Linked DNA regions of Elephas maximus indicus. The protein of the gene in region 2 interacts with the protein of the main gene of each other region in a pairwise test. Links are inferred from orthologs where the notes say so. Each region holds a gene or a part of one and is shown on either strand. Other genes may lie near its edges. The genes, in order: PAK5, FHL3, RHEBL1 and PIERCE1.

Region 1 (6,919 bases), on a different chromosome or scaffold from region 2:
GTATTTTTGTTATAGCAGCACTAGATGACCAAGACAGATGTATATCCTATAAGCTTTTTGTTTATGTTAGTTGAAATCTTCTTTTCCAACTCCTGTTCTTCTTCTAACCCAATAATCTAGCAAATGCCCAGTTCTTTTCTGGAATCCATGCTGGTTCCATTATTATTGTGACTGACCTTTGAAGGATGCCAGCTATTTGCTTCTGCTGCAAAAGACCTCTTTAAAGTGTTGAAAAGCAAAGATGTCACCTTGAAGACTCAGGTGCACCTGATCCAAGCCATGGTGTTTTCAATCACCTCATATGCATGCAAAAGTTGGACAAGGAATAAGGCAAATTGAGGAAGAATTGATGCCTTCGAATTGTAGTGTTGGCAAAGAATATTGAATATGCCATGAACCGCAAAAGGATTGAACAAATCTGTCTTGGAAGAAATACAACCAGAATGGTCCTTGGAAGCAAGGATGGTGAGACTATGTCTCACATACTTTGGACATGTTATCAGGAGAGATCAGTCCCTGGAGAAGGACGTCATGCTTGGTAGAGTAGAGGGCCAACGAAAAAGAGAAAAAGCCTCAAGATGGATTGACACAGTGGCTCCATCAACGGGCTTAAGCATAACAATGATTGTGAGGATGGCGCAGGACTGGGCAGTGTTTTGCTCAGTTGTACATAGGGTCGCTATGAATTGGAACTGACTAGATTGCACCTAACAGTACAACAACAAGCTATCTGCTGATTAACAGCATGGGGGAGAGTAAATAGTAGGGAGAGTAAGCTGAACCTTGATTCCAGTGTGTTGTCTTAAACATCTTCCTCAACTCATCTACTAAGTTTACTACCGCTGAGGTACATTTTTCCACAGGTTTTTTATAAGATTGGTTGAGGTCAGTTTTTCATGAAATATTGACCAATGGGTAGGTCTGTTTTATTGAAAAACATGTTCTTCTAGGTCAATCTAATATTTAATATCCCAAAGCTTTCAGATTTTAACTATAGATTTTGATAGCAGAGAAAAGACTTCTTGAATAGCAGAAAATGAATATATGCCTGCTCAATAGATTATAATTCTTCACATAAGAAAAAAGAATGTATATACCTAGACAACTAAATAATCAGATAAAATACTTCCAACTTCTGATTACAGGTTATTGCCCAACCTTTAAATCCCTGAGCTGGCTAGAAAAGCCATTACTTATTTAAAAATTTACACTTTTTGAAATTTTCTGGCAAATCAGTTGAGTTCCACTGCCTCAGCTTCAGGGAGCTGCCTCATCTGAAGTTCAAGCCCCTTCCAGGGGCAGCCCATACGCAATGATTCACAAGGCGATACAAAGACCAGACCATCTCAGCCCATCTTGGGGGAACTCTGAGGGCCACTCTCACTCCAGAACTCCCTGTGAGGTTGGCCAAGCCTGTCATCGGCCTGTGTCACAGCTTGACTTCTCCCTGTGCCCACTCTTGCTTCCACCATCTCTCAGCCATAGGTGTTGGGCCCAAGGGCACTCCTTAATCAACAGCCTGCATGCTAAACTCTGTCTCAGAGCCAGCATCATGCGGAAGCCAGCCTGCAAAAGTGAGGAAAGTAAGAAAGAACGCTCACTAATTTCTCGGGTTCACACAGCGAGTTGAAAAGACAGAATCACAAGTTAAGTTCCTAAATTTTCTGCCCTACTTAGATACTTTGCTGTATGACTTCTCTAAGTTCCACTTATTTATCAAGAAAAGACATTATATAAAAAGAAATCCCTTGGCACTTAATGCAATAAAGTATTTACAGAAATATTATTAGTATTAATTTATAATTTTTACCTGGCAAACTTTCAAAATGAATTTGAGGCAGCTAACAATAATCATAGTATTTATCTAGTAGAAATAACCACATGAACACAAGCGTTATATATAATAGGAGAGATATTTTAAATGATCAAAGCACTGTATTTCAAAGCATAATTTTAATTGATACCACCAAGCCAACAAATAAATAACTCTGTGAATATGTTTTCTTTTGCATCTGTGCTCACTCACATACAAAAAAATCAAAATAGAAAATATTTATGCAAATAATGGTGCAGGTGGCAGTGGGGGTGGTAGGTGGGTAGTTAGGGCTATGTGTGCAGCTTAGAGAATTAAAGAGATGGGTTTGGAGACTCCTATTCCTCTGATTGGTACACCATGAGTGTACGATATGCCATGATATATTTCCCCACCATACACAGGAGTACTGAGGAAGAAAAGTCATCAACCATTTAGCCCACAATTCCTGTTCTGATACAGAAGCTGCTGCATGAGGGTTTTAAGTGAACAGAAGACAAACAAGGGGAAATGATAACTATTCCACCACTAACGAGAAAACAGTCTATGGTTATTGAGTATAATAGAGTACTGATAGATACAAACCCTCATTTTGTAATCTGCTATCTATTCAGTTATGGGCTCCCATGATACCATATGCACTAGCTCATAAGTGTATTGTTGAGGCAGCTGAGGACAGAAGAGGGTATGACTTGTTTACTCTTAGTATTTGTTCTCCAAGGTTGAAAATTCATGCCTGGCTTCCTCATGTCTTTCTCTCACTGTCGTGTGGGCAGGGAATACTCTTGACGATGCTGGAGCCTTTGGGAGCTGGGAGGGGAATGGGTAACTGGAGGATTTAAGTAGAACCACAAGATACGTTAGAAGCTTTAGCCCAAGCATCACTCAAGAGAAAAGCCTGTCATCTCTTGGCACAAAAATTGCCCTCCTTTTATCAGAATCTGTCAGTTCTTTTTAGTCAGGTAAAAACCGAAAAAAAAAAAAAAAAAACCTACTGCCACTGAGTCAATTCTGACTCATTGCTACCTTATACGACAGAGTAGAACTGACCCATAGGATTTCCAAGGAGCAGCTGGTGGATTTGAACTGCCGACTTTTGGGGTAGCAGCTGTAGTCCTTAACCACTGCATCACCAGGGCTTCCCAGCCCTATCATTACATGTACAATAAATTGACACTTTGAAGCCCAGACTGGGGAACAAGCAAGGCACACTGGTTCACACTTAGTGGAGCAGTTCAGTGGTGGCTAACGAGCAAAGTTGGCAGCAAGAGGCCCAGACCTCATTTTCTAAACCAGATAGTAGCCAGTTAGGGCTGGGACATCAGAGCTCGGTATTAGAGGGCACAGCAACCCCAGGTGCTACTACATTTGTGGAGTTACCAAGTCATCTGTAGGTAGAAGGGGCCTATGTGGGGCCAGAGACCATTTCTGGGACAGCTGATTGAGGGACAGCCACTCACAAGCCACCCATGAGGAGTTGTCCGGGTCGTTTCTACCCAGTGTGGAGGATCAGCACCACTTGGAAGCTTCTTTGACATGTGGGATCTCAGGCCCCTCTCCAGAACCGAATCAGAATCTACATTTCACTCACAGGCACAGTAAAGTTTGAGAAGTGCCGGTCCAGGTGGTCCCCACTGCTAGCAGCTGATCAGCCTTTCGGCTCCGCCCTTCCTCCCCCCCTCCCCCTTGCTGGCTTTTTAAGCGAAGCTCAGCCCGGCCTTGTCCTGCACGCGCAACAGTTCGGCAAACCCGGAGGGTGTGGGGAGGGCGCGCACGAGCTGCCCCCGCGGAGAGGCCAGAGGGAAAAGCGTGACCGGCTAAGGGCTGCGTGCCCCGCACTCTGCTGTAGGGCGAGCCGACACTCCCCCGACCCACCCCTTCTCCACGGCCTGCGCCGCTCCAGCTCGCCTCCCCGGCTGTCACGAAAACCCGGAGTCGTGGCGCGTGCTCCTGCCACGTCCTCCTAGGGGCGAAGCCCGGCAGCCGGACATGCTCAGTAGCGGGAGGAGCTTTGGGTGGAGAGTAGAAAGCTGTGGCTCTACCTCCCACCCCCTCCCTCTGGCCCCCGCCCCCCTTGCCCCTGCTCAGCTTGTAGTAGTTCCCCAGCGTGCGCCCGGGGAGACCGGGAACATGGCGCTCGGAGCGATGTAGCGGCTGAGGAGAAGAAAGGGATGAGCCACCGCGCTTCGTTGACAGCCAGCCACCAGGTAGGCAGGCGCGCCTGGCGGGGTTGCCTGGGTGGACATCCGCACGGGGAGGGGCGCTTGTGGGGATGCGCGCGGCTGGGACCCGGGGCATCTTGCTTTGCCGGGAGAGGATGCGAAGAGGACATCAGTGACAGCGCGCGATTGTGCATCTCCTAGGAGATGCCCAAGGCTGGGGACCGGCTGCTTAGAAGGAAGGGATCCAAGGACTATCCCCCCACCCCCCATGCGCTACCATTCAGCTTGGGATCCCTATGGGTCAAATAAAGGGTAGTTCCTTTCTGTTGGGCGAGAGGGCGTGGGGAAGAAACCTAGATAGCAGCCCGGGGAGCGCGCTGGTACCCCGGACCTCTAGCAAGCCCAGCACCGGTTCTTTTGTGTATACAGCCGCGCACGCCCGGGGGTGCCACGATGCCTGTTTCTCCCGAGTAGTGTTGGACATATTGCCAGGGCAGGATTCCGGTATGATTTTTGTCTCTTGGCAGGTGTGGACTGGAAGAACCAATAGCTGAGCCTTTATAGGGCTGTGTTTTCCTTTGTTACTTGCCTCGGTATGTGTGTGTGCGCGTGGTGGGTTGTAATGGAGAGAACCAACTTCTGCTTGTGGGCACGGGTGTGGGCAGAGTGTGGAAGAGGATCTCGGTTCCAAACTCTTGTCAAAATTGTGAGCGGTTTTGGCTTCCTGGAGGGTAAACTTGAAAAGTCCAGGGACCATCAGTGCCCAGTTTGGGTTTGGAGGACAAGCCTGATCACCTCTCTTGAAACGTGTTTAGCTGGAGCTTTAAACATAGGACATGAGTTAATGCCTCAACATTACATATCAGTAAAGGACATTGAAAGTATTGGTGCTATCTTTTTTTTTTTTTTTTTTATGATGGACGTTTCAAGGCCAGGGCAATAAAGAGAAAGAGAAGTTGGCATAAAGCCAGAGAGAAGTGTCATTGTTAATAGTTGATGACAGCTTGCAAGACTGAATACAGTTTGGGGGGGTGGGGAATCAGGAAACCTGGCATTCAGCTAAGATGCTACCAGGAAATAGTCGTAGGGTCCTAGGGAACTTAGAGAACCTCTCTGCACCTTCTTTTCTCTTCTCTGTTTTGGTGGCATGAGGGTACACCCTCTTTCCTGAGTCTAGAAGGACAAGATGCTCTTTAAAGGCTCCTTCTAAATTAGAATTCTATGAAACCAGTCCCTAACTACAACCTTACATTTGCATATCCCATTCAGGGAATTGACATGATCCTGTAAGTTCTCTCCTACATTTGTATGTATTCAACATTTTAATTTTTTTCTTTATGATATAAAGGATGGACATCTGTGAATATGAAGTTTAGAGACACTTCTACACTGACACTATTCATTTTTCTGGTCTCCTTAGGTGGCAAAAATGAGCCAGTATCATCAAAATAAAATGGGAAATGCTTGAGAAAAATGCATTTAAGTAAATCCTTGACTTGGAATACGTATGTACCAAGCAGAAGCATTGCTAATGGAAGCAATAGAAGTTGATGGCAAGTTCATTGATACCATTGGTCTTAGAATAAAATTTTTGTGTTCCTCTGTGAATGGATAGAGATTGATTGATTGATTGCAACTCATTACTTTGGTGATGAGTGTGAATTTTCATTGCACGCATTGAAAACACCAACACTACTGGTACTAGAAATGGGTGTTCTAGGATATGGTATCATCTCGATGAGACAAAGCTGAGTTTGAACTCTAGCTCCTCCACACTTATCTCTGTGATCTTGGGTAAGCTATTTAGCTTTCGCAAGCCTCAGTTCCCTCATCTGTAAAACAAACCTGGAAGTAGGAAGAGTAATACCTAAATAGGTAAGTGTGAAGATTACTTATAGTATTAACCGCCAGGGAAATAGTGATGACCATTATAAGGGGAAGGGAAATGGATGTTTATTGAACCTATACTATGTGCCCCATATTATGTTAAACCCGAAAAACCCAAACCCATTGCTGTCGAGTTGATTCCAACTCATAGTGACCCTATGGGGCAGAGTAGAACTGCCGACCTTTTGGTTAGCAGCCAAACGCTGACCCGTTGTGACACCAGGGCTCCCATATTATGCTAGTCAGGTTCAAACATGTGATTGCATTTAATCTTCCCAAAATCCCTATGAACCATTTTAATGACAATGTTAATATTATGTCAGCCTAAAAGAAGAAGGTAAAGTAAAGTAGATAAGGTCAAAAAAGACCTTAAAAATAATTTAATACAACTAACCTGTTTGAGGGTTTATGTACCCTTCCGTGGTGAAGGGAAGAACAGAGCTTAGAGGTACCTCACTTACACAGATTCACTTATCTGGAAACCCAGACAATCCAGGATTCAGATCTTATCTATAATGTACTGTCCCAAACTGATTTCTTGATATGGTTTTCCTCCCTTTTGCTACCCCACCAACACAATGCAAAACAAATGAGCAAAAATCCAAAGAAAACAACCAAAATGACAACAGCAACAAAAATATCCCAAACTTAACACCTTTCTAGTTTTTCTTATCCTTGTAAATGGCACTATCGTCCATGGAGTTGCTTCAGCCAGAAGCCCGAGGATCATCTTTGACACCTCCATTCCCTTTATTTCACATCCAAAACCATCACACGGTCTTATAAATTTTGTTTTCTAAATATATCTCAATGGAGCCTCCATTCCATCTCTACCACCAACACCATCAAACTCCAAGTCATCATCTCTCACTTGGGCTACTAATATAACTTCCTAAGAAGACCTCCTGGTTTCTTGATCCTTCTAGTTTCTCATCCACAAAAGGCAGTATCATGTGAATTCCCTGCATACAACACATCCATACAGCTGGGACGGATTACAGAGACTCCTGAAGTCTTGGGTACGGGGCCAGCCTCATCTTCAACATGTCTTCCTCCC
Region 2 (7,782 bases):
TACCTCAAGCCCTCTGCAACTGTTTTTCCCTCTGCCTGGAACTCCCTACCCTGATGCTCACTTGACTGGCTCTTCCTTGCCCCTCAGATCTCAGCTCAAATATCCTCTCCAAGGGGAGTTTTCCTATCACTGCATTTGCTATAGCAGCCCCCATCCCCAGCCTATCACATCACTCTATTTTATTTTCTTCAAAACACAGTCTGATATTTTTGCTTGTTTTCTTATTTATTTCTGCTTCACCCCGCAACCTCCAGTTCCACACATGTCCATGAATGTATGTAATCTCCATGAGATCAAGAATCATGTCTTATTTGCTGCTTGTATCCCCAGTGTCTAGAGCAAGTGCCTGGCACAGAGTAGGCACTACATTAATATTTGTAAATTAATAAATTGCCACCACCACCATCTCTGCCGCCACCCTGCAATCAACTCTGTGAGGGGATGTTTATACCATGAAACCTGTGAGGGCCAGAACTTGACGGGACTGCCTTGTTTTCCCAAGTCTCAAAAGTTTTCTGCCTTTCATATCCTGTGCAGAGGGGAGATGAGAGGGCAGAGGCAGTCAGAAGCTGGCTGAAAGGACAGAAAAGAGAGAGTGGAAGGAAGGAGTGTGCTGTCTCATGAGGGGGACAGCAATTAGGAGTATATAGCAAGGTGTATATAAATTTTTGTATGAGAGACTGACTTGGTTTGTAAAATTTCACTTAAAACATGATAAAAATTAAAAAAAAAGAAATGATCCTCAAAACTTTGAAAAAAAAATGTTTTCTGCCTTGTAACAGGTGCAGTCACCACTTTTCTATTGCACTCTATTTACTGAAAAATATTTGCGTTTTCCTTCTCTAACAGGTTTCCTCCTTACACAAGTTCCAGCTTTTGCAGGCTTTACTGTGTTATTATCCCCATTTCCCAGGCAACACAGAGACCCAGATTGCGCCATCCAGTAGAGCTTTCTGCCAGTGATGGAAATGTTCTATATCTGCACTTTCCAATATGGTAGCCAATAGGCATGTGTGGCTATTTAACACATGAAACATGGAATTGTGACTGAGGAGCTAATTTTTTTTATTTTAATTAAGTTTAATTTAAACAGCCACATGTAGTTAGTGGCTACTCCATTGGACAGCACAGTTTAGAAGGCTAGTCTAATGGAGAACACACGACTAGTTTGTGGAATAGCTAGAACTAGAACCATTGTGCCTCTGGTTCCCAGCATGGTGTCTAGTACATAATGGTGGTGGTGTTTGGTGCTGTAGAGTCAGCTCCAACTCATAGCAACCTTACATATAACAGAATGAAACGTTTCCTGGTCCTGTGCCATCCTCATGATAGTACGTATGTTTGAGCCCATTATTGCAGCCACTGTGTCAATCAATCTCATAAAGGGTCTTCCTCTTTTTTGCTGACCCTCTACTTTACCAAGCAGGATGTCTTTCTCCAGGGATTGGTCCCTCCTGAAAACATGTCCAAAGCAAGAGAGATGAACTCTCGCCACACTTGCTTCTAAGGAACATTCTGGCTGTACTTCCTCCATCTCTTTTACAAAAAGCCAAGAGTCAATAATGAGCCAGATTAAGAAGCTCACACATCAGGCCGAGTGACCAGGTGGCAGCCCAGCCACTCCTGCACTTCCTCCAAAAAAGGCATGCCCAGAAGGCAGTTTTGTGCCCTAGGGGAACCCTGAGTCAGCCCTGGATTTGAACTGCACATCGACCACCTGTGGGCTTATGATTTGGGGCCACAGTCTCAAACTCTTCTGAGCCTCATTTCCTAATCTATGAAATGGTGGTAATAATAATAACACATCGTATGGTTTTTATAAGGATTAAAGGAGGTAACGATAGCACTTAGCACAAGGTAGGCATTTAACCACATTAGGGCTCCCTGTACCATACTTCTCCCTTACCCCCATGCTCAGTAGAAGTCACTCATTTCACCATCTCCACCCACAGACCCATCGTCAGGCTTGGGGTCACGAGGACAGTGTTTTCTGGGCAATTTGCAAAAGGGTGTCGGCTAAGCCATGAGGCCTGCAGGGGCTCTAGGCTGCCTAGTACGTGTAAGAGTGAGCAATACACTCAGAGAAGGAAGGAAGTTTTCTCTCTGGGTGAAGGAGGACTTGTGGTTACAGGCATCAGAGAGTGATTCAGCACCCAGAGGAAACCATGAGAGGCCTGTCAGTCATCACCCAGGCCTCCTTTGAAAACCTTTCCAAGGTGGTAGAACAGCTGGGGACCCTGAGCAAGCCCCCTTCCACCATGAGACAAGGAAGGCTGTGTGGGACCTCCCAGATGTATAAAGGGACAACCAGATCTCACTCACCCCGAACCTGTCATGCAGCACTAGAAACTCTGCTTCCAGCCCTGGCTCAGACACACCTGTTCCCCAGAGAGTGGGGGAAGACAGATAGGGAACAGAGAGTCCATGTGGCTGATACCCAGGCCTTCATGCGGCACGTCCTCCTGGGCCAACCGAAATAGAGTGGGCAGGGAAATGTGAGCCCATCGGGGAGCTGGAAATGGAGAGGGAAAAAGACACAGTCCCCCTTCTCTAAGCCAGTCCCCCTCCCCCAGGAGATGTCCTAACCTTCTCTGGCCTCCAGGCTCCAAATCCAAGCAACAGAACCTTAACACTTGACCATGAAAGGGTATGTGGGTTTGAGGAGTGGGGGTAATTACCAAATATTGAAGACCTACTGTGTGCTCTCATCCAATACTCACAACAACACTATGTGATAGGGAGTCAACTATTCAACAAATGAAGAGACCAAGGCTTAAATGACTATAGAGGCTGTAGCGCCTAGTGGTTAAGCTTATTTTTGGCATAAGGGGCTTTGACATTTGATTGTCTGGATTTCAGTTTGAAGCTTTGCCATTATTAGTTGTGTCACTCTGCCTCCCTTTTCTCATCTTTAAAGTAAGGATAAAAATAATATTTCATCAATTTGTTGGATGATCAGGTGAGTTCCTACATGTCAAGTGCTTAGATAGGAACTGGTGCAAAGTAAGAATTCAGGAAACACTGGCTCGTATTATAATTAAGGCTATTAGGCAGAGATTCAAGCTATGAGAAAACAGCAGAGACCCAATACTCTGCCTTTAATCCAGAGCCTTCCTTACTTACTCATAACCACTTCATTTCTGCAAGCTTCTTACCTTCACCCTTCCCTCACCCCAGAGCAGACGTCCCTCTTGCCATCTACTCCAACTCAGTGACTCCCCAGGGCTGGGAGTCCCCTGCACCTGTGAGACCAGTCCCTAGACTCTGCGGACCTCAATGCCAGTGAAAGGGCCCACCCATAGGCTAGCTGCTCACTTCCTGGGCTCCGGATAGCAGGTGCCTATGGTCCAAACTAGGGGGTTGGAGTCAGATTGAAGCAGTGTCTTCATTCATTCATTCATCAGATATTTATTATGTGCCAGACATTGGAATAAATACTGAGAATGCAGTAGTAAACAAGATAGACCCAGTTTCTGCCCTCATGGAACTTGCAGTTTAGGCAGCAACAACAACAGTAATAATAAACAAGCAATTATTTAATTAAGAAAGGAAACCTGGCCCGAAGGGCAATTTAGCAATTTAGGAGTGGGAATCCAGGCAGGTGATGCAGAGATGGGAGAGGAGGGTCCTCCGGAGCCCCAGCATGGGAGGGAGTGGGTCCCTGCCCTGAGAGCTTGGCAGGACTCAGCCTGGGGAGGGGTTGGGGGGCCTCTGTGGGTACCTCAATCTCTAGATGCCCGAGGTTATTTCCAGGGTTGGTTTGTTGTCTCTTGTTTTGCAAACAGTACAGCAGAGCCTCCTTCCTCCCTCCCCCTTCCCTCCAGAGGGAGGCTATTTATTCCTAGTGACAAGCCTGAAGATCCCAGGGGGGGTGGCCTCAAGAACCTGGAGAGGCACCATGTCCCTGGCAGGTGCCAGCTCTCCCTCCCAGGCACAGGGAGGAAGCCAGAGGCTCAGAAACTGCAGAAAACGGGGGAGGGTTCCCTCCCCTCCATTATTTCTGCCACTCACATCCTCACACCCCTCCTAAAAAAAAAAAAAAAAAGCCCAAAGATCATGGGGCCAAGGATTAGGGTCTCCCCTGGGCATCAAAGGTCAAAACTATTTTTGGGCACTACGGAAATCAAGGCGGGATCTCACAGTGCCAGGTTTCAGCTGGGGTTGGGGAGGTAGTTACCTCTGTTTTTGCCGCTCAGGGTTGTGGAATAAGACTCTTCGAAGGTCAGGGCACTATAGGGAGGCCCTTTCTTCACCCCCTGTTTCCGGAGAACACCTGAGTTCCCACTGACCCAGCCGTGACAGCTGAATTGACTCCATCCCCTCCTCCAGGCTGGGTTAAGGCCTCCTACACACGCTCAAGCTGAGTGTGACCCCTGGGGAAAGCCGGTAGGGGGACACAAAGAGGGCATGAGGACTCTTTGGTCTCCTAGTAGACCCTGGTCTGCGGGGTCCACTGCCTCTTGTCCGGGGTTGAATACGGCAATCCCCCGCTTGCAGCTGGGGGCACAGAAGGGGAGACAGAGAGGACAGCAAAGGCTGCAGGGAGGGGGCAGGGGTGGGGTCCCTCCCTCCGGGAAGGTTGGGAGGGCCAGGTTAGGCTGGCCTGGGGGAGGGGGGTTGGGGCTGGCTCCAGTCTGAAAGGGAGGTGGGGGCGGGGCCTGGCCCCCAGCGGCCCGCTTGGGGGACCGGGGGCGGGGTCCGCACCCTGAGGGCAGGGGGGCCCGGGGGCGGGGGCCGGGCGGGGCGGGCTCCCGCGCTCACTTCCTCGGGGAGGGGTTGGGGCCAAGCTCCCACTCGCCCACACAGTCCGTCTCCAGCCGGCAGCCTCGCCGGCAGCTCGCTCGGCCGCCGCTCGGCCCGGCCCGCAGGTAGGAGCCGCCGAGAGACGCGACCCCCGGTTCCTGTCCCCACCCTCACGGGCGCTGCGCCCCGCTGCTGCCGCCTGCTTCGAGGTGAGCTCCCCGCCGACCCGGCTCTGAATCCCAGAGCCGGGTCCCCTCCCTCGGGCCGGGGAGCGGAGACAGCCCGCACAGGGTTAAGGACAGCTGCGGCTCCCGCCCCCTGCCCAGGTCCGGCCGGGGACACCGGGCACGCTGGGAGCCGGAGGCGCTGAGCACCGGAGCGCCGGCTGTCCCGACTGGACCGCTCCCGGCCGCCTGGCGGAGCGGGGGCTGCCTCGAGAGTGGGGCGGGGGAGGGGACGAAGTTTGAAATAGAAAAGCCAGAGAGACAGACTTCGGCCTGCAGAGACCGGGAGGGTCCGAGAAACAGGCTGGCAGAAACCTCGGTGGACCGAGACACCGGGACAGAGACAGGGACATGAGCGGTTGGCTTAGGCTCCGGGTCTGCGGAGACAGACGGGCTACAGACATAATGGAAACACGGACACAGACTTGGTGTACAGAGTCACCGAGAGACGGACCCGAGATATAGGGACAGATTAGGATTTTGTGGAGCATTTTAAGAAAAGACATTCATATGACCCCGTAAACACATTGCTAGGGCCTTTGAGTGCCCTGAACTTTATGTTTCTTTAGCTTCCTGGTAAGCCCGCCTCTGGATTCACTGTCTAGCTCAGAGGGTAGAGGTGGAGACACTGAGGCTTTCTAAAGACAGACTGTGAGACCAAGATTTGAGTGTACAGAGGCAGAGATCCAGAGAGGTGGTGGCCACCACTGGGAGATAGCTAGTCAAAGACAGACACCCAAAAACATAAGGAAAGCTGCTGAAGTGTGCTGAGACAGAGAAATTATGAGCAGAGCAGAGCCAGAACTCCAGAGACTGAGATTTAATGGGAGCAGAGAGACAGGCGAGCTGACAGCTTCCAAGATAGACCCAGAGACCCAGGCCAGGAAAGATGGGGAAGCCAGGATGTGGGGAAGCAGAAGCTGAGCCAGCTGAGCCCCCCGAGGCCCAGGACCTGAGACAGTGAGATTGAGATGAAGAAGCAGCCCCACGAATACACACAGCCACCAAGGCAGCCCCAACTTATTTTTAAACTCAAGTCTTGGATGCATTGCTTCAGCCCTGGGGGACCTAGGGTGAATGAACTCTTCCTCCCCTGTCCCCAGAGCAGCTGCCAGATCCTGTGCCCCATCCCTCTTTGCCTAAGCTTCTCTGACTTCCAGGTCCCTTGGGGGAACTGAAGGGGGAAAGGAGTTTGGGATTGGTGCCTGGTAGTGGGGAGTGGGGGAGTTTGGTTTCACCCCTTAAGACTCCTGTCAACTCCTGGGAGCTGGGGGAGGTGTCTGTCCTGATCCTGACTCACAGCTGTGGGGCCCTCCTGGACAGTTGGGGGCTGGAGGGTTTGAGTGGTTGGCATGGGTAATTGGAAAGGCTTCTGGGTGTCTTCCAATCGCAGAGCTGGCAGCTGGGGGGTAAAAGGGGAGAAGAGCCAAGCTCCAGTCCTGGTGATATTACCCAGCATCTCCTGTTTCCCTGCCCTCAAATACTGACCAGCCCCTCCACCACCACCAAACCCCTTTCAAAGGATTTCCAGGGAGAGAAGCGGGAATGGGCTCCAGGCTGGGTGGCAGAGACCTGGGCTTTCTGACTACCTGAGTGATCTTGGGCATGGCCCTGCCCTGGCATTCTTATGCTCAGCTGGAGAGTGATGCCTGTCTTTTGAGGCCTGATGAGGTAGTGGGTGTGAATGCTCTTTGGGAGGGCAAAGCTGCATGCTGGTGCGCACACACCTGTGCCTCTGGGATAGGTTGCAGGCAGAGATAGGCTTGCTGGAGCAGGGTGGCTGGGCCAGAGCCACCACTAGCCCTCCTAGTCTCCTCAGCCAGCCCCATGGGCCTCAGGGCCTCTTCTATTCCCCAGCTACACTGAGAAAGTACAGTTCCCTTACCTATGTCTTAGTTATCTAGTGCCTCTATAACAGAAATATAACACAAATGGGTGGCTTTAACAAACGAATTTATTTTCTGGAAGTTTAGGAGGCTAGAAGTCCTAATTCAAGGCGCCAGCTCTAGTAGGAGACTTTCCGTTGGCTCTGGGGGAGGGTCCTAGTCTCTTCTGAGCTTGTGCTCCTGAGCAATCTTCACATGGCTTGGCACCTCTCTTCCCCCATCTCTGCTTCTAACTTATGTTTAATCTCTTTTATATCTCAAAAGAGATTGACTCAAGATACACCCTACACTAATCCCGCCTCATTAACATAAGACAACCCATTCCCCAATGGGATTATAACCATAGGCATAGAGGTTAGGATTTACAACATGTATTTTTGGGGGTCATAATTCAATCTATAACACCAGGCCTGGCTGAGAAACTGCCATCTGACCCCACTATGAAAAATGGACTAATAATAAAAAGACCAACAGCCAACATTTACTGAGTGTTTACTATCTGCCAGGAAACCCTGGTGGCATAGTGCTTAAGTGCTTTGGCTGCTAACCAAGAAGTCAGCAGTTCGAATCCACCAGGCGCCCCCTGGAAACCATGGGTCACTTCTACTCTGTCCTATAGGGTCACTATGAGTCAGAATCGACTCGATGGCAGCGGGTTTGGTTTTTTTTGTTTACTATCTACCAGGTACTTTACAAGTATCACCCCATTTAAACCTTACAACAACCCTAGGAGGTAGAGAGTTATAATTACCTCATTTTATTAGATGGGAAAATAGGCTCAGGGAGCTTAAGTGACTTGCCCAAGGTCACCCAGCTTAGTAAGTGAAGGGAGCCAGGATTCAAACCCAGATTTAAGATTTTGCTCCACACACCAAGTCTGTTATCCAGCCATTCTGAGCTCTAGGAGGTTTGCTAGGAAGTGCCAGCTG
Region 3 (7,567 bases), on a different chromosome or scaffold from region 2:
AAAGGCTCACATGAGTCGGCAGTGACGCTCTTGCCCATAGGAATTCTCCACACGGGCAATCTCCTGAATGACTTTGGTGAAGATGCCTTGAGTCAGCTGCAAAGGATAGAGATTCAAGGCAAAGGTTAGTTAGTTCATGCCAACACTACCCAGGTCTGAGGTGAACACCCCACTTCCCCACCATCCCCACCACTAAGAAGTGCCATGAGAAAAACAGTACTACTCCCTCTACCTTGCTAATGGCCAGGTCAAGTACCTGATTTTCTCGAGCAGATGACTCCATAAATGTCGCGCCCCAGGACTCTGCCAGCTTCTTCCCTTCAACTGCTTGGACCTCCCTGGAAACAAATTCAGGACATGAAGATGGAAGATGGCAATGTCCCCCCATGTTGTTTGCAACATCTTTAGAATCTAGACCTCCTCTGACCTACCCCACTTTCCCAAGGTTTGGGAGGAGGATTAAGAAAGAAGATATAAACAAAGGAGTGAGGAGTGAATGTGGGACAAAGGCTTGTAGGATATTGGCTGGGTAAGGGGAGCTGGGAACTCCTGAAGTGGAGCTGGCTCCCTGGGGTGATGATGTATATACACAAATAAATTGAGAAATCTTTTGTTGTTGACTTCTCTGTTTTTCTCTGTGTCGGGGGAGAGCTCACGACTAATTCCATTCTTTATTTTCTCCTTTTCCAAGCAGTGATAGTTGTGGTCTTTTTTATGACGAAGCAGGGCTAATACTTTCCACCCACTTCGTTCCTATTCCTTACTCCTCATTCATTCAGTGTTATTTTGGTACCCTATGGGAAATTATGGCTTTTGAGATAGAAGGGTACTTCATCTTAACCCTCAAGTTAGAAACAGAGATGAAATGATTTGCCAAAACTTGTGGCAGCGGCAGGAATAGGGCCTGGGTGATTCCTGGCCCAGCTCACTTTCCTTCATCCTGAGCAGCAGAGATTCACATACCTAGCTGGAGAGAGATCTGCCTTGTTCCCAACTAGCACCACCGGCAGCCTGTAGGGAAACAGCAGTCACTATAAGATCCCCTTCCATTCCTCATGGACCCTAACCTCCCTCACGTCAGTCACATCAGGGCTGAACAACTCCCCATCAGCCCAGGCAGTACTCGTGTCCTCCCTAACTGGACCATTCTCCCCTCTGCTGTCCTCCACCCCCTCTTGTCCACAGGATGTTTCTGTCCCCCAGGGCCACTTACCTGGTTTTCCCATGGCCTTCATGTAGCTTTTGGTACAGACTCTCAATGACTTGGAAGCTTCAAACACAGATATAAAGCTGTAACCTTAAATCTGGGACAGACCCAGGTCCTACAAGTCCCCCACTCACAGCCTTTCTCACTTACCTATGCTGAGAGGTAACAGAATATACAAGCACGTAACCATGGACCCCAATGATGAATGAATAGGGCAGAATGCTGTACTCATCCTGATAAGAAATAGAAACATCAATACCTAGATCTACACCATTCAGGTGGCAAAGGTTGGTGGGACTCCACCCCAGGGACCCTCCCTACTCCAGTTACTTCTGTTCAACAAATATTTATAATGTAGCTCCAATGAGCCCTGCACACTGCTAGCTGCTAAAATGCTTTACTTTTAATACTACTTCTCAAATAAGCCTCAGAGGCTACAAAACTTCACCTCCCAAGGCTGAACTGCCACGTTCGGCTACCCTACCCCAACTAGTACCTGCCCTGCAGTGTCCACCAGGTGTAGGTGAAACTCATCTTTGCCAAGAGTCACTATCTTGCTGTAAGCTGAAAAGAAAAATCGACCATGAGGGGCCTTGTAGGGCTAGCAACATGTGCCCCCATACAATCTTAACCCTGGGGGTAACAATGGATGGACCAGGTCCAGGGAGCTCTCCAGGAAACTGGAAAGACAATGCTAGGGTTCTTATTGTCTACAACTACACCACCCTGGACACAGTATCTTGCAAGATCCAAACTCTAGCTCCACTCACAGAACAGGATTGTGTGAAAAGGATTTAATGTCTAATTAAATAAGACCCTTGGCACCAGAGAAATTCCACATTATGGAGTTGGGTGGAGCCCTAGCCCTGTCACACTAACAGAGAATTCTACTCACTATTCTCCACTGTAGGATCATAGCCTTCCAAGAACTCGCCTTCCACAAATTGATGTGCCAAAGATGTCTTCCCTGTGGGGAGCAGTGGTAATTGTATCCAAATCCCCCATTCACATTCACACCCTCCGACCTTTCAGTCTTTGGCCCTGGACTAACAGGGACCCCCAATTAGCACCCCAGCCTGTGAGTGCTCCAAGAATGCCTTCCCCTTGCCTACTGCCACTCTCTTTTCACCCAGGGTCTCTGTACATCAGCTACACTACAACCAGTGGCGCCGCAGGAAGGCTTTCCCGCAGCCTTCCCTTCCCCCAGGAGATTCGGGATTCCCTAGCGTCTAGTCCGCCCCGATCCTGGGCACCTGCGACCACCAGCCCTACGCAGACCGTGCTCCCTGCACCAAATCCTGACCCTACTCCCACCCCCAACGTAGCCGAGGGAATCACTCTACTGTTCCTGTAGCCAATCCTACATTAACCGTTGCGTGCCCCTGGTCCCTGCAGCGGTCCCCACCCCATCCCACCCAGCCCTTCCTCTTCCACCCTTTCAATCCTTGCTCTACACTAACGTTCGCACGATGTCTCCGTTCCTCCTTGGGTCGGGCTCCCGCGACAGAGCGCCCCCTTTGGCCACAAAGCCGCGGTGCGTCCGTGCTCTCCCCAAGGCGGAGACTCACCTACAGAACGGTATCCGAGGATGACCACCTTCCTGTAGCGGACCAGCGGCATGGCAGGAGCCCGCCCCAAGGGGCTTGGAGAACTGCAGGCTGAGAAAGCCCGAAGAAGAGGAGCTCAGGGTGTAAGCGGGCGTGGCAACCGTGCAAGAAAGTCGCTCACCCAGAAGCTGCCAGGGCCAAGCTATAGGGAAACCAAAACAAGCGCCGCGCCCGGAGCCGGCCACGTGATCACAACACTGCACGACTAAACCGAGGGAGCCCGGCGCCGAGGGAACTACACTGCCGCGCCGCTCCGAGCTCCGCCCCCCAGGTTGTTCCCCATTGGTCTATTAGAAAGAATAAGGGCGGGGTCGCGAGCAGGAGGGAAGGGTGGGTCTCACGTGGAGCGGGAGAGCTGGGAGCTGCGCGTGCGCAGACTGGAGCCGGCTCATTCATAAAGAAACAGAAAGGAACCCGGGGTCCTAGAGATGTTTGCGCAATTGCAACTAGCGGAGTGGCTGTGAAGAACCACGAATGGGAAATGCCCGCTGTGTCTGAGCTGGAGTTTCTGGTCAAATGACTCTAGTCCTCCCTTTTACAAGGCCACTGGGGTCTTTGGATGGGGAAAGAAGGCCAACATTTAAATATATTCCCTTCTCTTCCCCCAGCCTTCAGCCCCAGACCTTTTTGTGACAGTCGTCAGATTTCCCCAGTCTTCCAGAATCTAACCTCTGAATGGCAATTCTTGTTCTTAGAAAAATTGCTAGAATTTGTGGCCAAGTCGTATGAGGTATCGTCGTCATCATCATCTTAATCCTCAATACATTCATTTATTCAACATATTTATTGAGCTCTATTTTATGCTCCAGGCTTTGGGAACAGAGCACTGAACAAGACTGAAGAGGTTACTGTTCTCATGAACATTAAAACCCAGTGGGGGAAGTCAAACATATAAACAAGGAGATATCAGATAGTCTTCAGTGCTATAAAAGAGGTGATAAGAAATGACCACTTTAGATTAGTGATACCTCCTCTCAGAGGAAAAGAGGAAGTCCCATTTAAACTGAGATCTGAATGGCAGTAAGGAGCCAACTAGTAGTAGATTCCAACAGAAGAATTCACCAATGCTACGATCATAAAGTAGAAATAAATTTGGTAAATCCCAGGAATGGGGGCAAAAAGCCAGTGAGCCTAAATCAGGTAAGTCTGAGAGGAAGACAGAGGTCAGGTCAGGTGAAAGAATTTGGGTTAATTCTAAGTACCTAGGAAGTTGTCGGGAAACCCTGGGGGCGTAGTGGTTAAGTGCTACGCGGCTAAGCAAAGGGTAGGCGGTTCGAATCCACTAGGCGCTCCTTGGAAACTCTATGGAGCAGTTCTACTCTGTCCTATAGGGTCGCTATGAGTTGGAATTGACTCAACAGCACTGGGTTTTTTTTGTTGTTGTTGTTACGAAGCTGTTGAGAAGCCCTAGTGGTGCAGTGGTTAAACTCTTGTTTGGCTGCTAACCAAAAGGTTCGTGGTTCGGATTCACCAGCTGCTCTGCAGGAGAAAGATATGGCAGTCTGCTTCCTTAAAGATTACAGCCTTGGAAATCCTATGGGGCAGTTCTACTCTGTCCTGGAGGGTCACTATGAGTCAGAATAGAATCTACTTGATGGCAACAGGAGGAAGCTGTTGAAGATGTTCATGCAGGGGCATGACGTAATCTGATACGTGTTTCTGAAAGGTCTCCCTGGCTATGGAGAATGGATTAGAGGTAGGGAGATCAACTAGGAGACTGTTGTTTGTAGTCTAGATAGTTATGCTGGTGGCTTGGCTATAGTGGTAGTGGAGATGAAATTAAGTGGAGATTCAGGACATGTTTGAAGCTGAAGTCAAGCTGACTTGCTAAAGAATTTGGTATAGGAGATTAGGGAAGGGAAGAGTTCTATTATGTGCCAGGAGCCCTGGTGGTGTCATGGTTAAGTGCTCAGCTGCTAACCAAAAGGTTGGCAGTTCAAATCCACCGGCTGCTCCTTGGAAACCCCATGGGGCAGTTCTACTCTCGACAGCATCTAACAACAACGACTATGTGCCAGCCAATGTGCTTGGTATATTTCATGCATTATCTCATTTAATACTGGCAACAACCCTAAGGTTGATAGTTGGGTCTGTTGGTTCATTCATCACCAATATTTATTGAACAAATACCATGTCCCAGGCACCTTTCTGGGTTCTGGGAACAGAACAATGAGCAACACAGACAAGGTCTTTGCTCTCAAGAAACAAGTATTCTTTCAGGTGAAGACCAACAATCTACAAGCAAACAATACATAAGTTACCAAAAAAAAAAAAAAAAGTAATAACTGCAGTGAAACTGCCAAAAGAACAAACTAATCTGTCTTGGAAGAAGTACAACCAGAATGCTCCTTAGAAGCAAGGATGGAAAGACTGCATCTCATACACTTTGTCACGTTATCAGGAGGGATCAGTCCCTAGAGAAGGACATCATGCTTGGTAAAGTAGAGGGTCAGTGAAAAAGAGGAAGACCCTCAATGAGATGGGTTGACACAGTGTTGGTAACAATGGGTTTAAGCATATCAAAGATTGTGAGGATGGCCCGGGACAAAGCAGTGTTTTGTTCTGTTGTGTGTAGGAGCCAGCTTGACAGCACCTAACAGCAACACAACAACACAATGAAATTTAAAAAACACAACAGGATATTAATGGGCTAGAAAGTAACTTGGGGTATGATACTCCTCTTTTTTATATGAGATCTTAGAAAGTCTGAGAAGATGACATTTGTGCCAGTTGCCGTCAAGTCAATTTTGACTCATGGGGACCCCGTATGTGTCAGTAGTATTGTGCTCCATAAGGTTTTCAATGGCTAAGTTTTCAGAAACAAACTGCTGGGCCTTTCTTCTGAAGTATCTTCGTGGTAGACAATGAGACCATCTACGACATCTGTTGCTGGAAACTTGATGTTGAGCACCCAACCTACATTAACCTGAATTTTCTGATATTCAGCTTATTGTTGTAGTCACTTGAATGTTAAGAATGTATTTGGCTGCGATAACAGAAAACTCAAGTAACAATCGCTTAAACAGGGATTTATTTTTCTCAGGTAGCAAAACTGGAGGTAAGTGCCATGAGTCTGTATAATGTCAGATCTGGCATCTGCAGTTCTCTTGACCTTTTCCTCATGCTTATCACCTCATGGTCTCAAGTTAATTTCACCTCCATCATCACATTTAAGTTTCAAGAGAAGTTCTGGTGATCATAAAAACACTGATATTGAAAATGAATATAAAGAGCTTGAATAAAATTATTCTTGAAATGGAAAAACAGCAAAATCAATCTATTATTTTATAGGATATGTGCTTTTAAGTATGTATATGTAACTAGGGGAGCCTTAGTGACACAGTGGTTAATCACTCATCTGCTAACTGAAAGGTTGGCGGTTCGAATCCATCAGCCACTCTGCAGAAGAAAGATGTGGCAGTCTGCTTCTGTAAAGATTACAGCCTTGGAAACCCTATGGTGAAGTTCTACTCTGTCCTATAGGGTCTCTATGAGTTGGAATCAACTCAACTGCAATGGGTTAGTAGTTATATGTAACTTAGTTTATATGTAATGTTATAAGTATACATTTGACTGTTTAATTCCTAAAAGTTGGCTCAAACTGGTGAAGGACAAGCTTCTTGGATCAAGTCGACAATGAGACTATGTTGGCATCTCCTGTCTGGAGGGGAGATGAGAGGGCAGAGGTGTCCAGAAGCTACCCGAATCTACACGGGGCGGGGGTGGGGGGAGTACTGTGCTATCTCATCAGAGGGAGAGCAATTAGGAGTGTATAGCAAGGTGTATGTAAATTTTTGTATAAGAGACTGATTTGTAAACTTTCACTTAAAGCATAATAAAAAAAAAAAAAGTTGACCAAACAGCTCCTTTTATTTTGGGTCTTCTAATTAGGAAAATGGATAATCATCTCGCTTTGCTATCAACATTTTTTTAGCATATGCAGATATAGAGTTAAGATAAGACGTAGACATGCTATGTTTCTTAGATTTAGATTAGCTAATAAATTGCTTTCAGATGCTCTCTGTCACTTTCCTTCCTGACCTGGAGGCCTTTCACTAAAGACCCAAACTTTAGCGTTATGGTTCTTACTAGCTTGGCATCTTTGGTTTGCTTCTGCAGATCCTCTCTTCAGCCTTCTCAACCCTGTTCTATGCTCTGGGAAGCCGAACTTTATAGATTGGATGAGTGCCCTCTGACCTCCAGTTGTATTTAGCTAATGGGAGGCACTGGCCAGAGACTGTAGGGTAGAGGAGAGACGGTCAGAGTCTTTATTCTCCTATTCGCTTCTTGTTGGGCTACATTTTGGCAGTGGTTACATTCATCTATCAGAGGCCACAACCCTGTTATACAACTACAGTTACAGCTTTCTCTGGGTTCTTGTAACCCCTTCCCCTTGACCCTTCAGACCTATGGTAGTAATGTCTCCCCACTGATGCCAGATGGAGAATGCTCCATCACTCTTGGTACCCCTTTACCTCATTCACCCCTTTATAAACAGTCTTTTCGTTATATTTTCCTCAATACCCCATTTGAGTGTGCCGTCTGTTTCCTACAAGGACTTTGAATGATATACCTCTCACATAATGAAAAATTCTTCAAGTAAAGGTTTAAGGCAAATTATATTAAATCTCACATCACAGTGTAAGAAGCTAGAAGCATAGAGGGAAAAACAGTTAATTCCATCTGGAAGAATCATAGAAGGTTTCAATTGAGCTGGACCTTAAAGCCTGAGAAGGCAAAATGCTAAAGGAAG
Region 4 (7,218 bases), on a different chromosome or scaffold from region 2:
AACAAGATGATCCCTTTGCGATAGGCCACGTGCGCCATGAAATTCAAGGCCAGCTGGAGGTGTGCGGCTGTCTGCTCCAGATCAATGATGTCCTGGCCCAGGCGGTTCCCAAAGATGTATGGCTCCATGAACCTGTCCAGGAGACCCAAGCAAGGTGAGGGCGAACAGGGCTCCCGAGGCTAAGACCACCAGCCCCTCCCTCATGACAGCCCTCCACAGCAGGCCCAAGGCTCCTCAGCAGGGGTCACACCACCCCCATGAGCACAGACAGCAGCGACCACCCCATCCAGCGAGTGACTGCAGGGCAGGTTGGGGGCTGGGCTTGAAGGGCTGCAGGCCACTTAGGAGCCTCAAGCAGTGGCTGAAACCTTCTGACCCTCTGCTTCTTTCCCAGGACATGGGGATTCTAACAACTGCTGGATGTCTAAACACAGTGTCATAAAGTATCCTCCCCGGTGTTGGTCACACAGCAGCCATTTGTCGTTATCATGGTCTCCAAGGCTTTACAGACAAGATCCCTCTGGGACTGAGGGACCAACAGAGCAGGGGAGGGGCTCCAGGCTGAAAGCATGGCAGGGTCGGGGCAGGCACCAGGCAAGTCAGGGTGGCGGACCCCAAGGGCATAGAACCACTGGCTGCCCTGGGCAGAGGGTCAGTGGGGCAGAGGGACTGCACTGCCCCACTTCTCAGCGTGTGGCAAATGAGCCGTCCACACCAGTGGTCCATGTAGCCTCCCCTCCAGTCCACTCTTCAGCTCACTCCTGCTTGGGTTTTGTTTTCTCAACTGACACCACTCACCAAGCACCCAATGACCCTCCTTACCAGATCCCTGGTCCCTTCCTGCCTGCAGGCCTTCTCAGCAGCGCTAAGCAGTCCCCACGTCCCTCCCCCCGCCCCGTTCTCATCCCTCCTCATACTCTTGCCGTGCCTTCTCAGTTTCACCTGCTGCTCCTCCTCCTCTTCGCAGCCCTTAGAGGGCCCGGGGCTCATTCTTGGGGGGACCTCCTCTCCATTCTGCCCTCCCTCTCTAGATGACCCCCAGCGCCCCGCCTCTACACAAGGGACTGCACTCCCACGTCTCTCCCAGGCTGGGGCTTGTCCCTCCATGGGCCTGCCTGACATCTCCCTGGGATGGCCCAAGGCCGTGACTTCCCCACGAGGTCTCCCAGCTGCTCCTCCACTCCGCTGATGACATGGTAGTCAGAAGAGCTGCACAGACACCTCTGATGGTTATCACTCCTCCACGTGACCCAGCATGTTCCCACTGCTCCTCCTACAGCCTAGAAAGCCCCACCTGATCTGACCTCACCAACCCCTCCCCGGCCTAGGCCTCCTGGCCCTTCTGTCTCTGACCCTGCCAGGCCTTTTGTTTACTGCCAGCTCTGTCCCTGCTTCAGGCAGGGGGCCACAGGCCAAGGCCCTGAGCGGTCAGAAGTATGAGCAAAGCCGTATGATAAATCAGTGCCCAACCCGAAGCTTGGTTCCCACTGAGAGGATGGCGGGGCTGGACCTAACAGTGGTGAGGACAGAGTGGACACCGAAACCTTCGTTCAGTTAAACAGAATGACTCACGACAGTACAAAATGTGCCCCTGAACCCCCAGGGAGGAAGGGACAAGGCCTGCTGGGACCAATCGCTGATACACACACCTAAGCTGACATCCCACTCAGCTAGGGGTTTTACCCTACCTGTGGCGACAGCCGGCTTTGTGTCCCAGGTGCACGCGGGCATTAAAAAGGCTTGTAACAGAAAACAATTCCTTGACATTGAAGAAGTCGGAGTGCTTGAGGGGCTCATTTATAATTTCGTCATTGAAATCTACAGCAAAGCACAAGAGAGAAAGGAACATGACTCTTAATGCAGGTTGCAGAGTGTGGCACTGGCCCACCCGGTCCCATCTGCCTGCGAACAGAGGAGACGTGGCTGGGTGGGTGAGAGAAACCATCAGTTGAAAACACCCAAAACCAGGCGATCTGGAAGCTGCAGATTTTTACTCCCAACAAGCTCAGGCCCTCTGTTACAGCTGAAAATTCCTAACCTCGTAATCTCAGGATACTAGAAACTGGAGCTGGGTTCTGATCACGACTTCACTCTTGGGTAAATCTGTCACTGCCCAACCCTCAGTTTCTAAAGTCCTTCTAGCACCTTCAGGCATGCAGTCTCAGGTGCCAGAAGACAGCAGTTGGGGCTGACGCCCATTGGGAGTCTAACAAAGTGCACTCAGTCCTTCCGGAGCCTGATGGTCACCAGACCCGTCAGGAGAGGGGACCCTGAGGAGGCTCGGGTGTTCTGACTCGGAGCTCTATGTCTCGGTGGTTGTTGTTGGTGGGTACTATCATGTTGATTCTGACTCATAATGACCCAACGTGACACAATAAAACTGCTCCATATGGTTTTCCCGGCTGTAGTCTTTACAGGCTGAGAAGGCCTGCAAGCAGGGAAGGACCGGGGATCTGGTAAGGAGGGGGCACTGGGGCGCTCGGTGAGGTGTCGGCTGAGGCACAGATCGCCAGGTCTCTCTCCAGCGGCGCTGCTGAGTAGGTTTGAACTGCCAATCTTTCACTTAACCAGTCACACCGCCAGGGCTCCTTCCCGCTCTGGAAAGGAGGTGCTATGTCAGCTCTTTGCCCAGGTGACCAGAGCGGAGCTGAGCTGCAGTGAGCTACGGATGGACCCCAGCTGCAGCTCAGGAGTGGTGGAGCCAGGGTTGGGACTTGAGGCTGGGTGACCCTAAGGCCCTGCTTTAACCATGTAGTTTGTCGGGAATTGCTGGGCTCGGTTTGGGCAGTGGGGACAAAGCAGCCAGTCAGAGCTGGAAATGATGACAGACTGAGGCACTGACCAGGCAGGCGGCCCTTTCCCCCACCCCTCCTTGGTCCAGGCAACCCCAGGGCTTTACACCTAAACCCAGAGGCACACAGGACTCCAAGCGGCAGATAACTAAGGCCTGACTGACTTCCCACTGCATGTCCCCCTATCTGCTAAGCAGCCCAGGGTTACCGCTACGGTCCTCGAGCTTGCTGACAGTAGAGGCCGGGGCGCTTCCAAACGTCCTGTTGCTCAGCTGAGACGCTTCTGGGGTCGCCTTCCTGAGGAAATCCAGCCACAGCGACTTGGGCCAGGCACCTGGGGGAGGAGGCAGAGTCCAGACGCTGAGAAAGGCGGCCGAGGCTCTGTCAGGCGCTCCGCTCCAGCTGCGGGCTGTCGGCAGTCTGTCCGTCCTTGCAGAGCCGGCGGACGACAGTTCGCCGCCTCCCCCCGCGGCCTGCCCTCCGGCCCGACGCAGCCTGACGCACGCGGGCCGCCCTGCAGGCCCTGGGTCCTGGTCCGCTGCGGGTGCGGTCCCTCCGACCCCAGCGCAGCGCTGGACCCAGGGCCACTGCAGCGGAGCCCCGCGCGGGCCAGGGCTGCGCGCCGTCGGGTATCTCAGCGCCCGCTCGGGGCCGGTTCCCGCCGCGGCTCCAAGACCCACGCCCCCACCCAGGACCCTGCGCCCCGCCCCAAACACCTCCCCGCGGGCCCTTGGAGCGGCGGGCATGCACGCTCACCGGCGCCAAGCAGCCGAGGAAGCGCGGCCCTGACGGGCGCCATGGCGCGGGCAGACGCGGAGCCAAGCCGGACGACCGGACTTCCGGCATGTGGTCCCGGACTTCCGGCGGGCGGCTTCCTCTTCCGCCGCGGCCACGCAGGCCGCACCGCCCCCTGCAGGCCGGGAGGTGGCACTGCACGCCCGCGCCCGGGCCCAGGGCTCTGAAGACTTCTCCGGCCGTGGCTCCTGGTTCCCGGCACCCGCCGCAGTGCTGGGCCCCAGAGCCTCGTCGCGGCCCGGAGGGAGGGAGGGCGCGGGCCGGGCCGGGGGGCACAGGTCGGGGGGCGGGGGCCGCGGGGCGGGGTCAGATCCTGGGGCGGGGCGGTGGGAGGGACACAGGTCAGGGGGCGGGACCGCGGGGCGGGGACCCCGGGGCTTGGGTCAGGGTCCCGGGCGGGGCCGGTTGGGGTGCACAGGGCGGGGGGCGGGGACGGCGGGCGGAGTCAGGGTCCCGGACGGGGCGGGGGGACCCCCGGCCAGGGTGCGGGGACCGCGGGGAGGAGGGCCGAGCGCGCGGGTTAGAGGGCGGGGGGCGCAGGCAAGGTCCGGATGGGGCCGCCGGTCGCCGGGGTAGTGGGTCCTCCCACCACTGTCCCGGGAAGGGCGGCAGGAGCGGCCTCTGGCCCCCTCGCTGCAGAAGTGCGAGGCAAACCCCAGAAGACTGAGAGCCGTCACTCGCGGGAACCTCCCTGGGGGATGAGGACCCTCCTAGCCTCCCGCCAGGAGATTTCTTCCCCAAGGCCAATACAACCTTTCTCACCGAGACCATTTATTATTTCTGAACACTTATATTATATATTCGTTGCCGTGGAGTCAATTCCGACTCATAGCGACCCTATAGGACAGGGTAGAACTGCCCCATAGAGTTTCCAAGGATCGCCTGGTGGATTTGAACTGCTGACCTTTTGATTAGCAGTCGCAGCACTTAACCACTAGGCCATCAGGTCTGAACACTCTGCACTCCATAAATTTATCCAAATGTCGAATTTAAATTTAGACTCAGGGTATTGGGCACATGAAGTTACCGGTCAAGATGCACCCCGGCGCATACAGTAAGCGTCAAATCATTGATTGACACGTGGCCTTGGGGTAACGGTAACCCCCTCAATTTGCTGATGAAGCCCCCAGGACCTCGGGTTTCATTTGCCCCCAAATCCGACCCCAAGGCTCCATATCCTGCGCGCCTTCCACTGCGTTTTGGAAAAATCCTCGGTTGGGTCGCGCGCCTTTTCGCCTGATGACTAATAGTGACACGCTCCGCAGCCCCGAGTCCCAGCAGGAACAGGCTCAAGCCCTTTGTTGTTCGCAGGAAGGTTCTAGACCTCGCATTTATCCCAAGTCCCAGCAGAAGCCCTGGCCTGCGTGGCTCGGCGCCTTTAAGAACCGGGCCCTCCCCGGTCAGGTGACCAGGCCGTCGCTAAGCAACAGGACGCCACGCCGACAGTCGCGGCTTTGCTGCCGAGCGTGCTTCCGCCCTTCTCGTTGCTGCGGTGGCCAGAGACAATGTCCCAGGAAGACCCCAAAGAGTGGGCAGAACCCGCCGAGCACAAGGCCAAGTCTCCCCCGGAGAAAACCAGCGACTATTACCGAGTGAGCGAGGACCTACCGGCCAGGTTCAACAACCCGGGGTGGTTTCGGGGCTACAGGTGAGGAAGAAGGTGCGAGGTGAGGGGAGCTGGATCTCCCCTAGGGTCCACCTGGCGGACACAGGAAGGAGAGGCCCCCGGGTCCAACATGGGGGGGGGTGGTGAGCAAGGCGCCACCAGCTGCTCTTTCTCCCAGCGCTCAGATAGTCCTCTATGCAGGGGTCCTCCAGCCCCCCCAGCCTCTCCTGGCATCTGAAGGCAAGAGCAGTAGCGTGGCCAGCAGCATGGCTCGTGCTGTCCTGGACTGCCAATGGCTGTGAACGTGCTGCCTAAAATTTGCAAACCTACACATGGGGTTGGTGGGTGCAGGCCAGGGCAGTGGGGTGGAAGGGGCCCCAGGGGAGACCAGAAAGCCCAGGCCTGGTCCCAATGCCACCGCGCTGTGCCCTGGGGCAAGTCTCCCCTCCTCTCTAGCCTCCGAGGCCTCCTCTGCAAAACCTCCATCCCGGGGCTGTTGGCAGAACCCACCACCCGTAAGCTATTAAAGTGCTCTGAACGCCGTGATGAGTGATAGGTGGCCGCTGTGGAGTCACCCTGCACTCAGGGCGGCCTCGGTACCACAGAACAAAAACTTGCCTGGTCCTGCATCATCCTCACAAGCTTGGCACGTTGCAGCCCATTGCTGCAGCTTTTATGCCAGTCTGTCTCACCAGGGTCTCCCTTACCCCGGTGGCCCTCTCCTTCAGCAAACGCAGTGTCCCGCTCTAGCAGTTGACCTCCCCGATGACATGTCCAAAGCCAGCGAGTTGGACCGTGTTCTGTGTGATTCATAGGTTTTCATGGGCTGGTTTTCTATAGTAGATTGCTAGCCTTTTTCTCTCTAACGAATGTTGTTGTTGTTGTTGTTAGGTGCCGTTGAGTCGGTTCCGACTCATAGCGACCCTGTGCACAACAGAACAAAACACTGCCCAGTCCTGAGCCATCCTTACAGTCATTGTTATGCTTCAGCTCATTGTTGCAGCCACTGTATCAGTCCACCTCATTGAGGGTCTTCCTCTTTTCCGCTGACCCTGTACTCTGCCAAGCATGATGTCCTTCTCCAGGGACTGACCCCTCCTGGCAACATGTCCAAAGTATGTAAGACGCAGTCTCGCCATCCTTGCTTCTAAGGACCATTCTGGTTGTACTTCTTCTAAGACAGATTTGTTCGTTCTTTTGGCTGTTCAGGTATATTGAGTATTTTTCAGCAACATGACAATTCAAAGGCGTCAGTTCTTCTTCGGTCTTCCTTATTCATTGTCCAGCTTTCATATGCATATGATGCGATTGAAAATACCATGGCTTGGGTCAGGCGCACCTTAGTCTTCAACGTGACATCTTTGCTCTTCAACACTTTAAGGAGGTCTTTGCAGCAGGTTTACCCAATGCAATGGATCTTTTGGTTTCTTGACTACTGCTTCCATGGCTGTTGATTGTGGATCCAGAGATATCGTTGTTGATGTCAGCTGGATCCTGGCTGAAAGCAGAGAATACCAGGAGGATGTTTACCTGTGTTTTATTGACTATGCAAAAGCATTCGACTGTGTGGATCATAACAAATTATGGATAACATTGCGAAAAATGGGACAATGAATGATAGCAGATATCTATTACTGTGGGGCCCTGTGCTCAGCTCCTTGCTGCCCTCCACCACCTAATCCCCTCAACAGTCCTATACAGCAAGGTCTACTATTGTCTCTGAGATGTAGAAAGGCACTAACTTGTCCAAGACCCTGTAGTTAGCATGCGGCTGCGCTCTCTGAATGCAGAGTCTGGCAGGTAAACAGCTCTGCTGGCAGGGACCGTGGATACTGCACATTTCAGGCAGGCTTCTTCTTGATCTGCACTGGTGGAAGCATGGCCTCCGCCAGCTGGGACTCAAGCCCAAGGACCCCCGGGTGGCAGGCTGGAGGCTGGCAATGCCAAGGCCCCATCAGCCGGAGCCCCGTGATCCCCAGGAGGGGGCTCGTGGAGGCTCAGCCAGCTGGCGCTGGGGGTTGGACC

The links.
Region 1: the proteins of FHL3 (region 2) and PAK5 interact in a two-hybrid assay, tested with the Homo sapiens proteins (2 studies listed by BioGRID and IntAct). The two-hybrid records come from large-scale screens. The link is inferred for Elephas maximus indicus from reciprocal best matches to the Homo sapiens genes FHL3 and PAK5.
Region 3: the proteins of FHL3 (region 2) and RHEBL1 interact in binary tests that used the Homo sapiens proteins (3 or more experiments, as listed by UniProt). The two-hybrid records come from large-scale screens. The link is inferred for Elephas maximus indicus from reciprocal best matches to the Homo sapiens genes FHL3 and RHEBL1.
Region 4: the proteins of FHL3 (region 2) and PIERCE1 interact in binary tests that used the Homo sapiens proteins (3 or more experiments, as listed by UniProt). The two-hybrid records come from large-scale screens. The link is inferred for Elephas maximus indicus from reciprocal best matches to the Homo sapiens genes FHL3 and PIERCE1.

Annotation. Positions count from the first base shown.
Region 1 is NC_064843.1:48,555,386-48,562,304, reverse strand, and holds the start of PAK5 (serine/threonine-protein kinase PAK 5), read left to right. Parts: upstream 1-3,915; 5' UTR 3,916-4,020; intron 4,021-6,919.
Region 2 is NC_064821.1:79,579,913-79,587,694, reverse strand, and holds the start of FHL3 (four and a half LIM domains protein 3), read left to right. Parts: upstream 1-4,781; 5' UTR 4,782-4,952; intron 4,953-7,782. UniProt on the Homo sapiens protein: Recruited by SOX15 to FOXK1 promoters where it acts as a transcriptional coactivator of FOXK1.
Region 3 is NC_064822.1:104,488,717-104,496,283, forward strand, and holds the start of RHEBL1 (GTPase RhebL1), read right to left. Parts: upstream 3,012-7,567; 5' UTR 2,828-3,011; coding exon 2,776-2,827; intron 2,175-2,775; coding exon 2,103-2,174; intron 1,772-2,102; coding exon 1,704-1,771; intron 1,441-1,703; coding exon 1,358-1,440; intron 1,271-1,357; coding exon 1,214-1,270; intron 1,012-1,213; coding exon 964-1,011; intron 339-963; coding exon 257-338; intron 97-256; coding exon 7-96; 3' UTR 1-6.
Region 4 is NC_064827.1:3,242,530-3,249,747, forward strand, and holds the start of PIERCE1 (piercer of microtubule wall 1 protein), read left to right. Parts: upstream 1-4,209; 5' UTR 4,210-5,092; coding exon 5,093-5,235; intron 5,236-7,218. Other genes in the region: MRPS2 (28S ribosomal protein S2, mitochondrial), read right to left, coding at 1-132, 1,689-1,818, 3,001-3,126, 3,549-3,591. UniProt on the Homo sapiens protein: Microtubule inner protein involved in the attachment of outer dynein arms (ODAs) to dynein-decorated doublet microtubules (DMTs) in cilia axoneme, which is required for motile cilia beating.